Macaca fascicularis: one gene and its partner. The protein of the gene in region 2 interacts with the protein of the main gene of each other region in a pairwise test. Links are inferred from orthologs where the notes say so. Each region holds a gene or a part of one and is shown on either strand. Other genes may lie near its edges.

The links. The genes of interacting proteins can lie anywhere in the genome.
Region 1: the proteins of PIAS1 (region 2) and MX1 interact in a two-hybrid assay, tested with the Homo sapiens proteins (2 studies listed by BioGRID). The link is inferred for Macaca fascicularis from reciprocal best matches to the Homo sapiens genes PIAS1 and MX1.

What each region holds. Positions count from the first base shown.
Region 1 is NC_088377.1:5,565,421-5,569,075, forward strand, and holds part of MX1 (interferon-induced GTP-binding protein Mx1), read right to left. Parts: intron 3,063-3,655; coding exon 2,984-3,062; intron 1,431-2,983; coding exon 1,308-1,430; intron 880-1,307; coding exon 738-879; intron 1-737.
Region 2 is NC_088381.1:44,828,142-44,831,796, reverse strand, and holds part of PIAS1 (E3 SUMO-protein ligase PIAS1), read right to left. Parts: intron 2,781-3,655; coding exon 2,336-2,780; intron 1-2,335. UniProt on the Homo sapiens protein: Functions as an E3-type small ubiquitin-like modifier (SUMO) ligase, stabilizing the interaction between UBE2I and the substrate, and as a SUMO-tethering factor. Catalyzes sumoylation of various proteins, such as CEBPB, MRE11, MTA1, PTK2 and PML.

The DNA of each region.
Region 1 (3,655 bases), on a different chromosome or scaffold from region 2:
ACTCTCCTGTCTTAAGCCAACATACCAGGCTCACCACGCTATTGACTCATGGCTATGGTCTACATGTTAGTGTCCCCTAAAAATTCCTATGTTGAAACTCAATCCTCAGTGTAATGGTATCAACAGAGGAGATCTTTAGGAAGGATTGGGTTATGAGCACTCTGCCCTCATGAATGGGATTCCAGGCACTTCAGATACTGTATTTTTTGCAATTGAAGGTTGGTGGCAACCCCATGTCAAGCAAATCAGCACCATTTTTTCCGGTAGCACATGCTACTTTTTGTTTCTGTATCAGCAATTTTTTAGCAATAAGGTGTTTTAAACTAAGGTCCGTACATACTTTTTAGGCCTAATGTTATTACACACTTAGTAGACTACAGTATGGCATAAACGAACTGTTTATGCACCAGAAACCAAGAAGTTTATGTGACTTGCATTATTGCAATATTTGTTTTGTCTGGAACTGAACCCACAATCTCTCTGAGGTATGCCTCTGGAATCTCTGTAAAAAAGAGGTCTGAGGAAGCTTGTTCGTCCCTTATCCCATGAGAGGACACAGCTAGAAGGTGCCATCTTTGAAGCAGGGAATAAGCTCTCACCAGACACCAAATTTCCTGATTCCTTAAGAATGGATTTCTTGCCTCCAGAACAATGAGCAATAAGTTTCTACTGTTTATAAATGACCCAGTCTCAGGTATTTGGTTGTAGCAGCTCAAAGAAGGGACTAAGACACTCACCTTCTTGCAAATTGTTTTCAATTATTATACCCCATTTGTGGAACTCACGTCGGAGTCTGGTAAACAGTCGGCTGTCATCTTCCCCTACAGTTTCCTCCCCTTGTATGAGAGCAGTGATGTCCTGATTAAAGGCATTAATTTTCTGTCAAGAAGAAAAACATCAGTATAAGCGGATAGACTTCAAATCCAAGGTCAAGGTCGTTTGGAGGCCATGCCTATGTGGAGGGTAGGGAGTCATTCTTTGCTTCCTTATGGGACACTGTGGATCAGAGGAAAGCAGAGGTTTTGGCACCAGAAAATCCTATCCCACCCCTTACTGCCTTAAGGATCTGGGCAATGATCGTGACAGAGCGGTCACAATGCAGCCTGAGCATCCCTCACTGCTGACTCCCCCCGCACACCCGCACTCCCTGCCCTGCCTCCCTCAGCCCTGTCCACCCTTTGAGTGCGACGGGCCAGATGTCTTTGGATCAGCCTCGGGGGAGTGAAGAAGGAAGTGCGTGAGGCCCAGGGCCCCTTTTCTGACCGTGACATGTGCTTCTCCGGCTCCATGTAGCTGGCAACACTCACGTCTATCAGAAAGAACATTTTTTCATTTTCATCTTCCGGTATGTCGACACCATACTTTTGTAGCTCCTCTGTTATTCCCTGGTGACTCTCCTTGATTTGATTTTCTAACAGCGGCAGAGATTTCTGAGGAAAATGGAGAGAAAATAATGGGAATTGATAAAGATGAACAGGGAACGAAAAGGAGGTCCCGGGCCTCCCTCTACATAGGAGCTGTGTGGGCCATTTGACTTCCTGGCTTCCTCTAAAAGGAAGCTTTTCCAGACCTGGGGGGCAGGGGGACACACGCTAGGGGCACTGTTTTCTGCCCAGGTCTTCCCCCTTCCCGACTCCTGCGGCAGCAGCCTCATGAGCAGCACTGAGGCACCCACTGTGCAGGGGTGCCGGGCCCTGGTAGAGCGACCCAGGGGCAGTTCCTCCTGTCGTCGAATTAGGTAAACTCTCTGGAGGGAGACTGGGGAGATCCACTTGTTTAGTAGGTTCTGAAGAAGTGGCATTTGGAGCAATTGGAGATTCAACAACTTTTATGTTGTTTGCAATCAATAAAAAGTGATCAGAGACTTATGTTTTTAACAATACGGTTGACACCATGTGCTGGCTCACACTTCCATAGCAAACATCTAAAAATGCCGGCTGACATGTGAAAGCCATACCTTTAAAATGTATCGGTGGGCTGACAAGCTAGTGAGGGGTACTCAGATGCCAGCCCCAGTAACAGTGACGAAGGAGGGGCTCAAGAAGGAGGCAGCAATGGAGCCTATCTCAGCCGCAAGGGCATCTGTCTAGGTAAGAAAACTTAAACGTAAACCTACGAGCCTGACTTGGTACAATGGCAAAAAAAAAAAACCCCATGGGCTTGCTTGAGGTGGGGAATCTAATAAGGAACCATCCCTTTTCTGCATACAATGGGACCCCAAAGAGCTCTGCACTCATCACAGTCAGCTAGAAAACAAACCCATTCTGCACCCACATTCCTGGGGACCACGGGGAAGACCTTGCACTCTGGTGCTGAGTTGAAAATTTGAAAAAGGCCAGCCTGGCCAACATGGCGAAACCCTGACTCTATTAAAAATACAAAAATTAGCTGGGCATGGTGGTGTGCACCTGTAATCCCAGCTACTCAGAAGGCCGAGGTATGAGAATGGCTTGAACCCAGGAGGCAGAGGTTGCAGTGAGCCAAGATCACACCACCGCACTCCAGCCTGGGCAATAGAGAGACTCTGTCTCAAAAAAAAAAAAAAAAAGAAAAAGAAAATTTGAAAAAGGAAGAGACTACATTCAGGCAGATTTTTAAAAAGAACCACAGAGCTTTTACAAAGCTTTTAGAAGTTAAAAAATACGTTCGTTAGAATGACTAAGACATTATAATAGTGGTTGTCAATGGGAAAGGAAGAGTTAGTAGCTTGTGCATAAGATTTTCATTTTTATTTTGGCCCAGTCGAGATAGTCTGTCAGCATCCCCCCAGACTGTGGTCCCCTGAAAAGCAGTATCCGCATCGTCTGGGAGCTTGCTGGAAATGCAGAATCCTAGCCCGCACTCCAGACCCACAGAATCTGAATCTGCATCTTAACAAGATCCTCAGAAGATCTGTGTGTACAGCGATGTTTAAGCAGCCAGCAAGGTTCAGCTGTGTTCGTAGTATTCTTTTCAGAGAACCCACAGCTCTGCCCGTGCTTACACAGATGTGTGCGATAAGCTCGCTGGTAAGTTTCTCTGCCAGGCAGGGAATCGTGGCCTTGCCTTCCTCCAGCAGATCCCTAGAAGAGAACACAAGAATGATTTCCACCTTGATGTAGCCAGAACACGCATGTCTGCCTTCTGCTGTTGGGAAAAGTCAAGGTGAATTTCAGTTGTTTACAACTGGATGGAATGTCTTGCAATTGGTACCCAACAAATACTCAGAATTGGATTGAATAGGATTATGACTGAATTTTAGCAATCTAGGATATTTCAACAATGATATGGAATAAGCCCTTCCAGCTGATATAATAAATGTGTATCATGGTATTTGACTCTAGACTTGGTCATCACAAAAATACACAGGCATGTATAGACACGTTTATGTAACACATACCCCCTTCTATGTGTAATATGTGTAGGTAACCATAATGGATAGAGACATATCTTCATACGAATACATTGAAGCATCCTGAGATAAATGGGTAGCAGAACACTGAGGAGCAGAGACACAAGATATCTTGTCCAAGATAAAAACTTAAACCATGGGCTGCCTGGAGGAAGGAAGTCAAGCATCTTCTCACCCGATCCAAAACTTGTGCTCCCAGGGTATTATTACAGGGTTTCCCACATTTTATAGGACATTTTAGGATAAAGGAAGCAGCGAAGCATG
Region 2 (3,655 bases):
CTTTAAATCTGGTGCTTAAGACCACAACAGAAGGGAAAAAATGAAAAACTAAATGTGCCTGTCCCATTCTGGACTCAGTGATAGCTGTGATTAACTAGCCAGCTGGTGTTCGAAACTATGTTCTTAAAAACTTGATTTTAAATGTATGTATGTTTAGAAAGAAAGAGAATGCTGGAAGCTATTAAATTTTTCAGAAAACATGGTTTTCTAAAAGATTTAAAACAAATGAACCACTGGCAAAAATAATCATTTAGGAAACTAAGTTCTGTGACAAATGTAGCCACTTCATTTACAGAAAAAGTCTTAATAATGTTAAAGAATCTGTAAAAACAGAGCCTTAAAATATACTCAGTCTAAATAAACCCTGAAGACTAATTACATAAAATCTTTTTTCAATAAATATTTTTCACATTCACTAAGCATTCCCCTGCAACAAATATTTATTGAGCCAATAAACTTCCACAGATTACTTTCTGGTGAGATCTTTTTATGCATATTCAAATTGGTCTGTTTTTAATTCTATAACAATGAGATACTGAAAATCTATTTACATACCACTAAGCAATTCTACACCACCTATTCATTTGGTGACTTTCTGTGAATACATACCACAAACAGCAGATTTATTCATGGAAACTGGCATTCAAATCAAATTATCCGTCAATTATTGTTATTTGTGACAGTTATGTTCTATAAAATCACCACAAACACTGAATTTGTGAATATATAATTGCTGCTACTAGGGGAAGTATAAGGTTAGGTTCCTGCAAGCCCCTGGTCACAACGTTTTCATCAACTGATCAATACATAACACATATGTACACATACATATATGTACACATACAGACCATATATAGAGATATAGATAGATACAGATATGGCCTTTAATTTAAAATGGGAGATAGATATATATATATATCAGACAGACAAGAAAAGATGCTTATGATATATTATTAAGGGGAAAAAAGGGAAGTTAAACAATACTATGTATATGATTCCTTCTGTAAAAAAACAAGAAACAACTTGCTTGTACTATATATGCATACACACTAAACAGCTAACAAGGAAGGGACTTTGGCAATTCCATTTTTTACAATGAGCATGTATCAGTTTTATAAGCATACAGTAGATTCTCAAAAAATGTTTTCTTATTATGGCCACTTAAAAAATGAAATAATGTGATACAAAACTCATGTTGTTTCAAATGATTCCTATAATCTTCATGTACTCAGGTAAATTCTGCTACATATAATTAAGAACAAACACCTCATATTTCAAAGATAGAATTTCAGTAAAACATTTTCAAAATGTTCTCAAAAATTCGCAAAAAATGTTCTCAACACTTGCCAATCCCCCAAACTGAAACATTCAATGATTTGTAACAGGGATTCACAAGCTTTCACTATACGGGTAAATATTTTGCGCTTTGCGGGCACAGATGGTCTCTGTACATATTCTTTGTTTTTCTTTCTTTCTTTTTTTTTTTTTAATAACTCTTTAGGAATATTTTTCAGATTTCTTAGCTCAGAATCACACAAAAACAGGTCACAGACTGGATTTAGCTTGCCAGCCATAGTATGCCAACAAACCAGCATTTAGAAGTCTGATATTTTAAATATATTACACCAAAGGCGTCAGAGGTCACAACAGTTGAGTTTTATTCTACATTAAGTAAATAAGGTAGCATTATACCAATTAAAATTACAAGTTAATATATTGAATTCTATATGCTAGACTACAAATCAAATGATGTAACAACACAGCAAAATAAATTTCAAGCATTTATATTATATAACTGTAATCAAGAGTGTGCATGTGCATGCTTATAAAGCATGCACTTCTCCACTTGAAAAAAATCAGCTGAAATTTAACTACCACACACATCAAAGCTCAAGTCTCCTTTTACAATCATTAAAACCATTCACTCATTTAAATAATCAAAACTAGTAAGTGACTTGTTTTAGAGATCATCAATCCCTGAAAATTAAGAACTAATCAGAGACTTGTAGTGACTTACTCGCTTTTAATTTTCTAATTTATAAGAGATATTGTAAAATAGTAATCAATCTTCTAAAAGACTCCTCTTTGGAAGTTTATATTCTTGAAACTTTTTAATATTTACTGTGTCAGTAACCATCAATATACTACCTTTTTTCCTCTGAAAGATAGCTTTTATATATTTGATTTTATCTAAATTTGAAAGATCTTCATTATTATCCAGCTGTTACTATCAAATGAAAATTTCATTATGAATAATAAACTGGGTCAAAGTAAAAGTCTAAAATGAAAATTCATCCTGCAAAAGTAACCAAATACCATCATACAATAATCTTACCTAGACTGGTGGGTTTTATCAGTTCATCCAGTAAATCATAAAATGGTAATTTTTGAAGTTTTATATCCGGATGGACTGGGTGAAGAGCTGATGTAAGATGTGGGAGTTCCAGTTCATGTTTAGGTCCCAGAAGAGAAACAGGGAGTAATGGCGATGATGCAGGGTGACCATCGTAAGTGAGCTGTGGAATGGTAGATGGAGACAAAGTTGCTGGCATAGGACTTGAATGTACGTTGGGGATGGACAAGTCTGCAGGCGTCATGATTTTCTGCGGGAACCGCCGCCTATAGAGTTCCTTAATTTTCATTTGTACAGCAGGACTACAGCCAGCCTTTAGCAAATGCAGGGCTTTTGTGAGAAGTTCGTGTTTGCGTCCGTGCTTGTTCCTCCCAGCGTAGCCCAACAGTACTTGGAGTTCAGAAACTCTAAGGCTCATAACCATTTGCTTAGAGAAAAAACAAAATGTAAAACATTAGTATTCCAATAACATAATTTACACTATTAAATGACACTTTATTATAACCCCCTTCCTATGGTTTACTTAAGTAAATAAATGCCAGTTCACTTATAATCCTAATTATTTCAAACTTCAAATTTAATCATTTAACATAAGTAACCAAAAAAATTTAAAATTATTATTCATAAATTGACTTCTACCCTTGGTTATAAGAGATATAGGATAAACTATACACCAGGGAAAACCACACCTCACTTTATTCCACTGTTTTGATGAAACTGTCAGGTATTTATCAAGCACTTATTGAGTCTCCAGGAGAATGTCGAATGCTATGTAGACGGTAAAACATAATGATGTGCCCTCAAGAATATTTTGTTTTCTTGGGGAAAATTATAAGTATATATGAAACAACAAACAGTCCACCTCAAACACCAGATGTAGCCAGGATATCAATAGCTATTATCAAGTGTTACATTCTATACTAACTCTGGAATTTGTAGACTTAAGTTATACCTTTTGTGACCAATTATATATCAGATACTCGATTTGATATTTTCATATGGAATGTCATAATCTTTACAACTCCCCAGGGCATTATCCTGCCTGATTTACATATGAGGAGACAAGTTCAGAAAGGTTAGATAATTTATAAAGCCATAAAGCTACTAAGGAGTACTCAGGATTCAAACCCAGATATGTCTGATTCTAAAGCCCATGCTCTTTCCACTAAACAATTAGGAAAAAGACAGAGCTGCACTCATATTACTGACTCTCACTTAACTTGCATGGCCAAGTTAGAAGTCCAGCAATCCAATTCATATGCCATAATGTATGAGGCTGCAGTAAAGAAATCTATTTAACTT